Linked DNA regions of Canis lupus familiaris. The protein of the gene in region 3 interacts with the protein of the main gene of each other region in a pairwise test. Links are inferred from orthologs where the notes say so. Each region holds a gene or a part of one and is shown on either strand. Other genes may lie near its edges. The genes, in order: EIF4A3, EIF4A2 and PDCD4.

The links.
Region 1: the proteins of PDCD4 (region 3) and EIF4A3 interact in binary tests that used the Homo sapiens proteins (3 or more experiments, as listed by UniProt). The two-hybrid records come from large-scale screens. The link is inferred for Canis lupus familiaris from reciprocal best matches to the Homo sapiens genes PDCD4 and EIF4A3.
Region 2: the proteins of PDCD4 (region 3) and EIF4A2 interact in binary tests that used the Homo sapiens proteins (3 or more experiments, as listed by UniProt). The two-hybrid records come from large-scale screens. The link is inferred for Canis lupus familiaris from reciprocal best matches to the Homo sapiens genes PDCD4 and EIF4A2.

What each region holds. Positions count from the first base shown.
Region 1 is NC_049230.1:2,443,824-2,447,570, forward strand, and holds the start of EIF4A3 (eukaryotic initiation factor 4A-III), read left to right. Parts: upstream 1-1,564; 5' UTR 1,565-1,623; coding exon 1,624-1,792; intron 1,793-3,512; coding exon 3,513-3,585; intron 3,586-3,747. UniProt on the Homo sapiens protein: ATP-dependent RNA helicase. Involved in pre-mRNA splicing as component of the spliceosome. Core component of the splicing-dependent multiprotein exon junction complex (EJC) deposited at splice junctions on mRNAs.
Region 2 is NC_049255.1:19,523,858-19,527,604, reverse strand, and holds the start of EIF4A2 (eukaryotic initiation factor 4A-II), read right to left. Parts: upstream 2,271-3,747; 5' UTR 2,184-2,270; coding exon 2,155-2,183; intron 1,316-2,154; coding exon 1,270-1,315; intron 1,182-1,269; coding exon 1,049-1,181; intron 935-1,048; exon of another isoform or gene 866-934; intron 765-865; coding exon 625-764; intron 1-624. UniProt on the Homo sapiens protein: ATP-dependent RNA helicase which is a subunit of the eIF4F complex involved in cap recognition and is required for mRNA binding to ribosome.
Region 3 is NC_049249.1:22,436,601-22,440,247, forward strand, and holds part of PDCD4 (programmed cell death protein 4), read left to right. Parts: intron 1-1,145; coding exon 1,146-1,259; intron 1,260-3,647. UniProt on the Homo sapiens protein: Inhibits translation initiation and cap-dependent translation. May excert its function by hindering the interaction between EIF4A1 and EIF4G. Inhibits the helicase activity of EIF4A. Modulates the activation of JUN kinase.

The DNA.
Region 1 (3,747 bases), on a different chromosome or scaffold from region 3:
TAATTAAAACATTCTGGTAGCCATATTTTATTTTTAAAATTTTATTTATTTATCAGAGAGACACAGAGAAAGAGAGAGAGAGAGGCAGAGACACAGGCAGAGGGAGAAGCGGGCTCCACGCAGGGAGCCTGACGTGGAACTCGATCCCGGGTCTCCAGGATCACGCCCCGGGCCCAGGCGGTGCTAAACTGCTGTGCCACTGGGGCTGCCCTGGTAGCCGTATTTTAAACATAGGTGCAATGAACTGAAATCACATATTTTATGTGACTCAGTATATGTAAAATATTGTCATTTCAGTCTACAGACAACATAAAGGTCATTCACCAGGTATTTTACATACTTTCACCCTGAAACCCACGTGTACTTTACAACCCAGCCCTAGACCACAGCTTGCCAAAACTGTGTGCAACCTCAGAGAGGGCATCCCGAGGGCTTTGGGATGATGCTTCATGGAGTAAGAAGATGTAACAACTCACGTTTTATTTTAGAGTCTAAGAAAGTCAGGTTTAGAAATATTTAAATTCGACTAACACCAGCATTCTCTTCAGGTGTGTTCATCAGATGAACCATCCCATAGGGATTGAATATGTTGGGCCCTTAAGGCCAGAGCTTCTGCAGGCAGGTAGCCCTCGTTTACTTGTTCCCTGCCAATGAATTGTAACCCACTGAACTCTACGCATGTCTGGTTTAGTGGATGAAACGATTATCCGCTTTTTTTCATTAAAGATTTTATTTATTTATTCATGAGAGACACAGAGAGAGAGGCAGAGACACAGGCAGCAGGAGAAGCAGGCTCCCTGTGCGCAACCTGATGCAGGGTTGCAGGACCCCGAGGTCACGACCTGAGCCAAGAGCAGCCGTTCAGCTGCTGAGCCACCAGGCGTCCCAATTATCCACTTTTAAGTAAATGCACCTTCACAACAGAGGAGCACTCAAACAGCCCCGGAAGGACGCCGAGGATGAAAGGCCCAGTGATGGGAGCCACGCCAACGGTGAGACAGGGAGTGAAGTCCTCACCAAGGGAAGGGGCGCGCGCGACTCCCCGCCTGCAGCGGCGCAGGTCGGAGCCAGGTCAGGGGGTGACGCTGGTCCAGGAGGGGCTCTCGGGGACGTCTGGGCTCAGACGCGAGACTGGCTCCCGCGCCCCGAGGTCAGCAGCGCGGGCTCCCCTGCAGCGCGCAGGAGCCCGGGAGCTGCAGGTGCAGCGCAGCAGCGACGCTTTGCAAGTTCGCGCTGCACCTGTCGCGGCGAGCGGGCGCCCTCTGCCCGGGCCTCGGGCCTCAGGCCTCGGCGGGAGGAGGGTGCGGAGGGGCTGTGGGCTCCGCGGAGCTCCCCTGGGCCACCAGCCCCGTTGCAGACAACCCGCGCAATACGCGATCCCCGCCGCTTCGGCCGTATTTATAGGGCCTGGGCGGAGCCCCGCCCCTAGCGAGATCCCGCGGCAGCTTAGACCTCGCGAGAGCAGTAGCAGCCCCCGCCCCTCTCACGCGGAGAGCGGCTCAGGGTCCCGACGCACGCTCGTGCGCACGCGCGCGGTGACGTCAGTTCCTGGCGCCGGCGGCGCGGGGCCCTGCTTCCGCTTTCCTCCGCGGCGCGCGCTCCGCTCTCAGCCGACGCGGGATCATGGCGGCCGTGGCCACGATGGCGACCTCGGGCTCGGCGCGGAAGCGGCTGCTCAAAGAGGAAGACATGACCAAAGTGGAGTTCGAGACCAGCGAGGAGGTGGACGTGACGCCCACGTTCGACACCATGGGCCTGCGGGAGGACCTGCTGCGCGGCATCTACGCCTACGGTCGGGGGCCGCGGGGCGCGGGCGGGGAGGGCGAGGGCGCGGCCCGGGGTGGAGGGCGACCCCCGCCGGGCACCCTGCGCTCGGCCTGCGTGGGTGTCGGGGGTTCGGCGGGTCGTCCCCGGGCGCTTGGGGGGCGCTGCCGCCGCGGATGACGGGCAGGGGCCGGGCCCGCGCTGCCTGGGCCCCGAGGGAGCTCCGGGTACTTCGGGGAGCCGGGATGCTTCGGGCGCTGGTGATGGCTGCGAGGGGGCGGGTGGGGGCTCCCGGGGGGTTGACCTGTGAGCCCGGGTCTGCCCCGAGGAGCCCCTGGCACGACGGAGCAGCCGGTGCCAGTAGCCCGCAGCACGGAGCGGGGTGCTCTCCAGGGCCAGGAGGAAGCGCTCCGTGGTGGGAGCCCAGGGGCTACTCGGGAGCGGCAGGCAGGGCCGGATCTCGCCCAGCGCTCTGTGAGCTGAAGAACAGCTCGCATTTTGTTCCTAAGTGCAGAGGGAAGCCATGGGGTTTGAAGCAAGGGGAGTGGCAACGCTGGGGTCTGCACCCTCTGAGTCCGTGCGCTAGAAGGGGCATGAGAGGTGAGGCAGGGGAGGTGATGACGTTGAGCCGGGGAGGGGTTGAGGATTCCCCGGGCGTTGTGAGCAGCCGGTGGGTGCTGCTGGCGATTGCTCATGTGGGGAGCCCTCGGAGGCAGGGGAGTCTCAGGGGCCTGTGAGCCACCCGGCTGCAGGTGCCGGGAGCCTGGGGAGAGACCGTGTTGGGGGTCCAGACCGGGGCGATCAGCCTCTGTGCTGACGCCTGGGCCTGGAACTCCCTTTACCCAACAGTCCCTGGTGTTAGTTACCAGGTGTAAAGCAGAGAGGGGATGGGAGGTGACAAAGCGGAGGTGAGGCTGATGGTCCTACCCACCTCTCAGCCTCCCCGGCAGCCCTGCCCAAAACACTGTTTTTAGTTTCCCCGCCTGTGTGCTTGCTTGGATGGTCGCTGTGAGGGTTTTTTAAATCATCCGTGTTACAGTTTTAACTTTAGACGGGAAGTCCGGGCTGAGTTTTAAAAGGCTACCGAAGAGTAACTAAGATATATTTTATGCACGTGAGCTTTTGTTTACTTGGGAAATGTTTTTTTTACCCTCTCCAAGTAGCCTCGTTCTAGAGTGATGTCGTAGCTGGTGAAGCTGCATCACAAGTGGAAGGAGCGCAGCGGGCACTCCGCGGAACGGCCCGAGCCGTAGAGTCATTGCTGTGGCAGACAGCACAGACAGCGTGTAGAGCTGATGCAGAGAGGAAAGAGGGGGCGGCCACGGTGCCACTGGATTCATTTTTCTTTCTTGTAGCATAAAAAGTAATGGAAATGTTAAAAGAGCAGCGCAGGCTATCGTAACGTACGCAGTGCAGGAGGAATTGAAGTAAAAGATGAGCCTTTCCCATCCATTCTCAGGAGCACCACCATTAACATTTGGGTGTTTTTTTGTTTTTTGTTTTGTAATCTAACTGGGGTCTCTGCGTTCTGCAATGTTCCTTTTATAGAGATTTTGTCTGTGCACATAAGATCTGTGTTAGTGTAAAAATACAGTTCAACCCAATTCATTCAGCAGCTGTTTCTTGAGCTTTGGTGTGTTGGACTTTGCGCTAAGAGGGGTGGACGTGGGGGCTTAAAAAAAGATACCATCTGTGTCCCAAGGAGCTGCCAGTGTCCTCATGTTAGAACTTTCGCTTTCTTTTTACAGGTTTTGAGAAACCATCAGCCATCCAGCAGCGAGCCATCAAGCAGATAATTAAAGGGAGAGACGTCATTGCTCAGTACGTCACCGGTAGAGAATGGGGTTAGGTGCTTGTCAGCTGAGTACAGCGCTTTGAGGGGACCCCTGTTCTCCCTTTCCACATATGTGTCAGTAGCCCTTTCCTCAGCTTGAGCCACGGTGTCTTGTTTTTTGTTTTTGTGTCCTTTAGAAAGCTGTCATA
Region 2 (3,747 bases), on a different chromosome or scaffold from region 3:
TAACGTGTCTTCCTTGTGCCTTGTCAAACTTGGGATCCTGTTACCCCAGATACCACCTAAGTTAATTAAATGATTTTAGTTACATCATTTCCTACATTGCTTTTCATTGTGTAGGAAGGTGTAAATAATGGAACAAACTCTGTAAGTAAGCACATCTAGGGACAACTTGTTGGTAACTTTAGTCTTTCCCAAAGTACTGGAGCTTACGTCCTTTCGACCTTAATAAAACCTAGTTTTATTAGCAAGGTCTTACTTCAAAGCCAATATAGCAGTGAGCTTTGAAAACATAGCATGCAACAGATGCATCACAAACTACTGAGACAGTCAAATAACATGTCACTGCAGTTTTCATGTTGCACAACTGCATTCAAACTTAAAAATGGGAACAGATGTAGTCCACCCTGAAAACACTTTGGTTTCTCAAATCTGTTACACAACCCTGCAAACCATACCTGCACACCCAGTTCCTATTTTTAACTCAACAAAAACTCCCTGCATGCATGGACAATTAGGAGGGCTCCTATCGATAGGACCAATTTATACTAAGTTTTAAATTCTTCACAGTTGTGAAACCTGAAACCTATGCAACACGCAAGCAGTTTTTTTGAACTACACTATCAATACCTGTTGAGCCAGTTCTCTGGTGGGGGCCAATACTAGTGCTTGGGTCTCCTTGAACTCAATCTCCAACTGTTGCAGGATGGAAATAGCAAATGTGGCTGTCTTGCCAGTACCTGACTGAGCTTGAGCAATCACATCATACCCTAAAAAAAGTAGGATACATATTTACCGATCCCACATCAAACCGCCACTTCTAGTTCACACCATGTATTCCGTTTGGAACATTAATTATGCCCAAATAATCAAGTGATCAGCAATGAGTATTCTCTTCATTTCAGGTCAGTCCCGAAAGATGATTGCCATCATTTCACTTTAAGGAATACAAACAGGTGCTATTCCCCCAGAAGTTACTTTCCCTTTTATGGTCCAGGTCAGTTATGTAGAACAGTTAATGCATGTTTCAAAAAGGGCTAGCTAGCTCGTTTACCTTTAATACAAGGAATAATAGCTCTCTGTTGAATAGCTGAAGGCTTCTCAAAACCGTAAGCATAGATGCCCCGAAGAAGAGACTCCTTTAAATTCATATCGTCAAAGTTATCAACAATCTCATTCCAGTTGCTCTGTAAATCACACACAAAAGGACGCCTGAGTAAGTCGGATGAACACCTCACCTTGCCCACGTTCCAGAATCCAACACAGAGGTCTTACCTCGATGACACCATCGGGGTCCATTCCCTCTGGGCCTCCATGTTCTCTGCCGACAAGAACACCGCAGTTAGAGAACGTCCCTCTCCCCAGCCCTCTTACCTGCACGGCCCGGGGACGGCCTAGGCTAGGCCGGCCACTCTCCCCACACGTGCGCACCACCCGCGCCTGCAGTCCGGGGAGCCGGCGGCGCAGCGCCCGTCACGTTCCGTGCGCGCCCGCCCCAAGGCCGACCACAGGGGACGCCCAGGAAAGGCCCACGGCCGCCGGCCCTTCCCCCAGCCCGAGCGCCAGGCGCTCCCGTCTCGGCGCCAGCCGGTCTCGCGAGAGCTCCACGCGCTGAGCTCCGCCCCTCACACTGCGCAAGCCGCGGTGATTGACGCGGGCCGCGGCCCGGCGAGAGCGGTGCCAACGGTTCGCGGGGACCCGGTTGCCGGCGCGGCCCCATCCGCCCGCAAGGCCGCGGCCGGCGAGCGGGCGGGCGCCGCCGTCCCCTCCCCCCGCCCAAAGCCGAGCCTGCAACTCGCGCCTTCCGCCGCCGGTAGAGCTCCCCCCCCGCTACACGGTGTCGACTGCGGACTGCGCCACCGCTCAACTAAAACGTGCGCCGGCGGGCGGGGGACGCGCCCGGGATGCCAGGGCGTCTTCGGGAGGGGACGGGGGGAAAAAAAAGCCCCTCCAACCAGTCCGTTTTTGTACCCTCGTCTCCCCGCAGGCCAGGCCCTACCCATCATGGAAGCTTCTCGAAGGGCAGAGAGGCGCTGAGCCTCCAGGAAACGCCCGCGAACCCGCAGCCCCCAGGCTGCTCGCCGACCGCCAGCACCTCCGCCGGCGTCGCACGACCCGCCACGACCCGCCGCGACCCCCGGCCCCGCGGCAGCGCCGTACCTGTTATAGTCCGCGGAGCCACCAGACATGATCCGAAGAGCCACTCAGCGCCCGACTGGAAAGACAGCGGCGCCGCGCCACCCGTTTTTTATAGGCTCGCGGCCGGAACCCGTTTTCTCGCGGAGGAATTTTCTCGTCGCTCTCCGGTCGCCCACCAAATTGTGATCCTGGGGTCCTTACCTCGGAGAATAGCCCAAGCAAGTGGGTGGGAAAACCCAAATTTGGTTATTTCTCGATATTACGGGGCCGCGGGACATGCCGGGGCCTTGGGGGCGGCTGGGACTCTTTGCCTCGCGGCGGAAGAATATTGCAGCAAGCGGTGGCCAAACCGCGCTCCCGGCCCGCCCCGCTCCTACGGGGTTTCCGCGGCCCCGAAGCAGAGGCGGCCGGGGGAGCGAGCGGCCGGGAGGCGGAAGCCCGGGGCGGCTGCGTGCGCGGCGGCCGGCCTCTCCCCGCGGGCGGCGGGGCGAGCTTGCGGTCCGGCGCCCGGGGGTGGGGGCGGCGGCGGCGGCGGGGACGGGGACGGGGGCGCGGCCTCGCGCTGCACGGGGGCACCTGGGGCTGCCCCGCCGGCTCCCCCCGCGGCTTAATTCTCCGGGGAAGAGCCGCCTGGCCTTCGGCGGGGCGCTTAACACCCATCCAGAGCCTAAAAGTGTGAAAACTTCCTGCTCGGGAAAATGTCGGCCTCCGAGCAGGTCCCCGAAGCCCGGTGCCCCCGGCGCACCGCAGGGCACTGTGCCAAGCGAGGCAAAAGCGTGCAGTGCCCTTTGCAGGGGTCCCCGCGGCAGCCGACGCTGCTCTCAGGTTGCCCCCGGTCTCCTCTCGCTCGCTCGCTCTTAAAAAATAACGCTGACCGCCCTAACGCGTGGGGAATGAATGCCCGACAAAATCATCCTGAACTTTTGCAAATGGTTAACAGCTAAGGACTGGTTTTCCTTACAACGTAGGAATTTAAATGGACGCTTCCGGCAGATAGAGCTCCGTGCCCCCTTTGGGACTAGATAGATTTTTTTTTTTTTTTTGATTCGGGTCTATGTTGCTCTTTTCTTTTTTCCCCCAAAAGGCTTTGAACTTTAATTGCTTCATACCGAATGCATGTTGATTTAGTGGAAATTGAGAGCGATACAACCCCTGCTGCTTAAATAAACTGCACGATTCTTGAAGCCGCGGAGGTTTCCGACTGTAGCCCTGACCCAGGCCTGGGGTAGGCCCAATGCATTTAGTCATTTCATTTTAAAAATACTACCCACACTGCGAGATATCATCAGGGAAACATTTTTCTCGTTAATTCAGAAGGCCACCGAAGATCTGCTACCTGGAAAAACTGACATAATTTTCTACGTCTGCGTATGATGGTTGATTCTAAATACATTGCTTTCAAAAAAAAAAATTATTGTGCCAAGAACTCTGAGAAAAACTAATACCGAGATGACAAAGTAGGCGTAGGTCTCAGTTTAGGGATGCTGCTCCTAATTAATCCCCCTGTAATAATGTTCAAATTCAGATTTGAGATAATGCGGGATATGTTCTGCAAATGGAGGTCAAAGATCTTTATTGTCTCAATAAACCTACTAAAACTCTCCAGGGATCTGA
Region 3 (3,647 bases):
TGTAGGATTATTGGATTGACTTTTTTTAAAAAAGATTTTATTAATTTTGGTGGGAGCTGGAGTGGGGGGAGAATGGGTATGAGTGGGGGGAGGGACAGAGGGAGAAGCACATTCTCTGTTGAGCAGGGAGCCTGATCAAGGTTCAGTCCCAGGCCCCTGGGGTCATGGCCAAAGCTGAACCAGACATTTAACCAACTGAACCACCCAGGTGCCCCAAGTTGACTGTTTTTCGATAAATTCTGTTGAGGTAATACAACAGAGTTTCTTTAGTAATGATAACTGGGAAGAATGTATATTCTTTTGAACATCATAAGATTTATAGATATGAGGTTTCTTTTAAAATATTACTGTTTAGGATGGTAACTCTGTGGTAAATTTTATTTGGGATTATCTTTTTTCTACTATCTTTTTTTCAGTGTTGAGAATGTAAATTTTGTTTTTTCTTCCTTATGCTGTACCTTTTATTCCCATAACTTGCTCCTTCCATAGCTGGAGGCCCCTCCCCTCTGGCAACTGTCAGTTTGTTCTCTGGGTTTACAAGTCTGATTCTTTTTTTGTTTACTTGCTTTTGATTCCACATACGAGTGAAATCATATGGTATTTGTCTTAGCCTTATTTCACTTAGCTTATTTCACTTAGATCCAAGAGGGTGTAAATTTTTAACAGATTTTATAATGAACATATATATTTTTAATGGAAAATTTCTAACTTAGACAATAAGTAGAATAGTATAACGAAAATGCTTGTACTCATCTCCCAGCTTTACCAACTTCAATAATTAATAACTCATGGTTAATCTTGTTTTATCCTGTACCTCCATATATTTTTCCTCTTGTATCCCCCTGCATGCATTCCGCACCCCAGGCTCTGGATTATTTTGAAACAAATCCCAGACATCATGACATCTGTTTTGAAGTACTGTCTTTGCATGAAAATAACACAAGGTGATGAGAATTACAGACCGGAAATTATATTGTTTTTATTCCATATTGTTTGTATAACTATTTTAGCTAATTGTTGAACATGGAAATATTTCTAAGAGAACATGAAAAAATGTAGGACTCAAATACCATAGAATCTTTGCTAAATATTCTAATATTGTCTGAATCGTTACGTCCATTAATTTATAACTCTTTCCCTCCCAGGAGAACTGTGTTTATGAAACTGTAGTTTTGCCTTTGGATGAAACAGCATTTGAGAAGACTTTAACACCAATCATACAGGAATATTTTGAGCATGGAGATACTAATGAAGTTGCGGTAGGTTTAAAATTGGAAGTATGATTTATTTAATATAGTAAAGAAAACACTGTTAAAAGAAAAACATCATATCCAAAATGATCTTGAATCACAGAATAAGTATTTTTTTTAAAGGTTTCATTTATTCATGAGAGACACAGAGAGTAGCAGAGACACAGGCAGAGGGAGAAGCAAGCTCCCTGCGGGGAGCCTGATGTGAGACTCGATCCCGGAACTCTGGAATCATGCCCTGATCCGAAGGCAGATGCTCAACCGCTGAGCCACCCAGGCGTCCCAAGTTTAAGCATTTTCTTTTGCATAAATGAATTTCTAAGAAGTGGAGTAAAATTTCTTTAATATAGATTAGCTCTTTCTTTTTTGGCATGTGATGAGGGCTATATGCCATTTTTTCCCCTGAAAAACAGCACAGTAATATTTTAACAATTATTGTAGTTATATATTTTTATAATTTATAGTGTATAAAATAATACTAATAATTTCTAGCATCTATAGACCTTCTTAAATCTCTTTAAGGATCTCAGTTAAAAATGACTGATTTAGTTCTATTTTTTTTTTGACATTCATTTAAATGCTCAGGATTAAGATAAAATTTATCTTTGTAGTCTATCCAAAAGAAAGAGAACATAGATACAAAGATTTGAAAAAGAATATATGCAGAAACCAAGAGAAAAAGTGTATTTTTGAAACATAATTTGTAGGATGCCTGGGTGGCTCAGCAGTTGAGCGTCTGCCTTTGCCTCCGGAACTCCAGGATCAAGTCCCACATTGGACTTCCTGCAGGGAGCCTGCTTCTCCCTTTGCCTATGTCTCTGCTTCTCCCTGTGTCTCTCATGAATACATTAATAAAATCTTAAAAAAAAAAAGAAACATAATTTGCACGGGAATATTTCCTGTGTTATGAATTGTTCATAAAGTATATCTAAAAAGGTAAAATAAAGCTACCTAACTAGGATTACAGACTTGAAGTACTAAAATGGCAACTTTTTTTTTTTTTAAGATTTTATTTATTTATTCATGAGAGTGACAGAGAGAGAGGCAGAGACATCATCGGTGGAGGGAGAAGCAGGCTCCCTGCAGGGAGCCTGATGTGGGACTCAATCCCAGGACCCCAGGATCATGCCCTGAGCCAAAGGCAGATGCTCAACCACTGAGCCACCCAGGCCTTCCCCCCTTTTTTTTCAAATTGCAATTCTTTGAAGGCTTTTATGATTTTTTTTTAAATTTATTTATTTATGATCGACACGGAGAGAGAGGCAGAGACACAGGCTCCATGCAGGGAGCCAGACGTGGGACTTGATCCCAGGTCTCCAGGATCACCTGGAGGTGATCCCAGGTCTTGATCCTGGACTTGATCACCTGGACTTGATCCCAGGTCTCCAGGATCACCTGGCGCCAAAGGCAGGCGCCAAACTGCTGTGCCATCCAGGGATCCCATGAAGGCTTTTATAATTTAGACTCTTATATTTCATACTGGGCTTTCTTAGTTTGTCTGATACCATGAGATCTGATATCCTTAGATTTGTAGGATTTGAACATGAATATTTGTTGGGTTTTTCAAAGATTTTATTTATTTGACAGAGAGAGAGAGAGCACAAGCAGGGGAGTAGCAGAGAGAGAGAGGGAGAAGCAGGCTCTCTACTGAGCAGGGAGCCTGACGTGTGGCTCAATCTCAGGACCCTGGGATCATGACCTGAGCAGAAGGCAGATGCTTAACAGACTGAGCCACCCAGGCGCTCGTAAAACAAATATTCATTCAGTACATACCATGTGAAGGAATTTGTAATAGGTTTTTCTTGCCCTTCTGAAGCTTGGCCAAGTGAGGAGAAATGATATTATAAACAGATTATTAAAATAAAATGTAAAGCCTTCTGTAGTAGAGGTGGAGTTTAAGTATTATAGGGGCAGACCATTGAAATCCTATCTAGGGCAGCCCCAATGGCTCAGCAGTTGAGCATCTGCCTTTGGCCCAGGGCATGATCCTGGAGACCTGGGATCAAGTCCCACATCAGGCTCCCTGCATGGAGCCTGCTTCTCCCTCTGCCTGTGTCTCTGCCTCTCTCTCTCTCTCTCTCTCTCTCTCTCTCTCTCTCTCTCTGTCCCTCATGAATAAATAAATAAAAAATCTTAAAAAAAAAATGAAATTCTATCTACCTAGCATAGGACTAGTGGTATACTATGTATACTTATTAACTGAGTAGTACTATAAGCGCAGTGTTATGGAAGCATAAAATTGAGATGATTCTGAGCTACATAAGAGTGATTAGAAGTTTGCCAGGGTAAGATGGTTGAAGAGTTTTCCAGAAAGGAGAAGTATCCCTGTTTGTTTGTTTATTTTTTAAGATTTTATTTTTTTATTCATGAGAGACAGAGAAACAGAGATATAGGCAG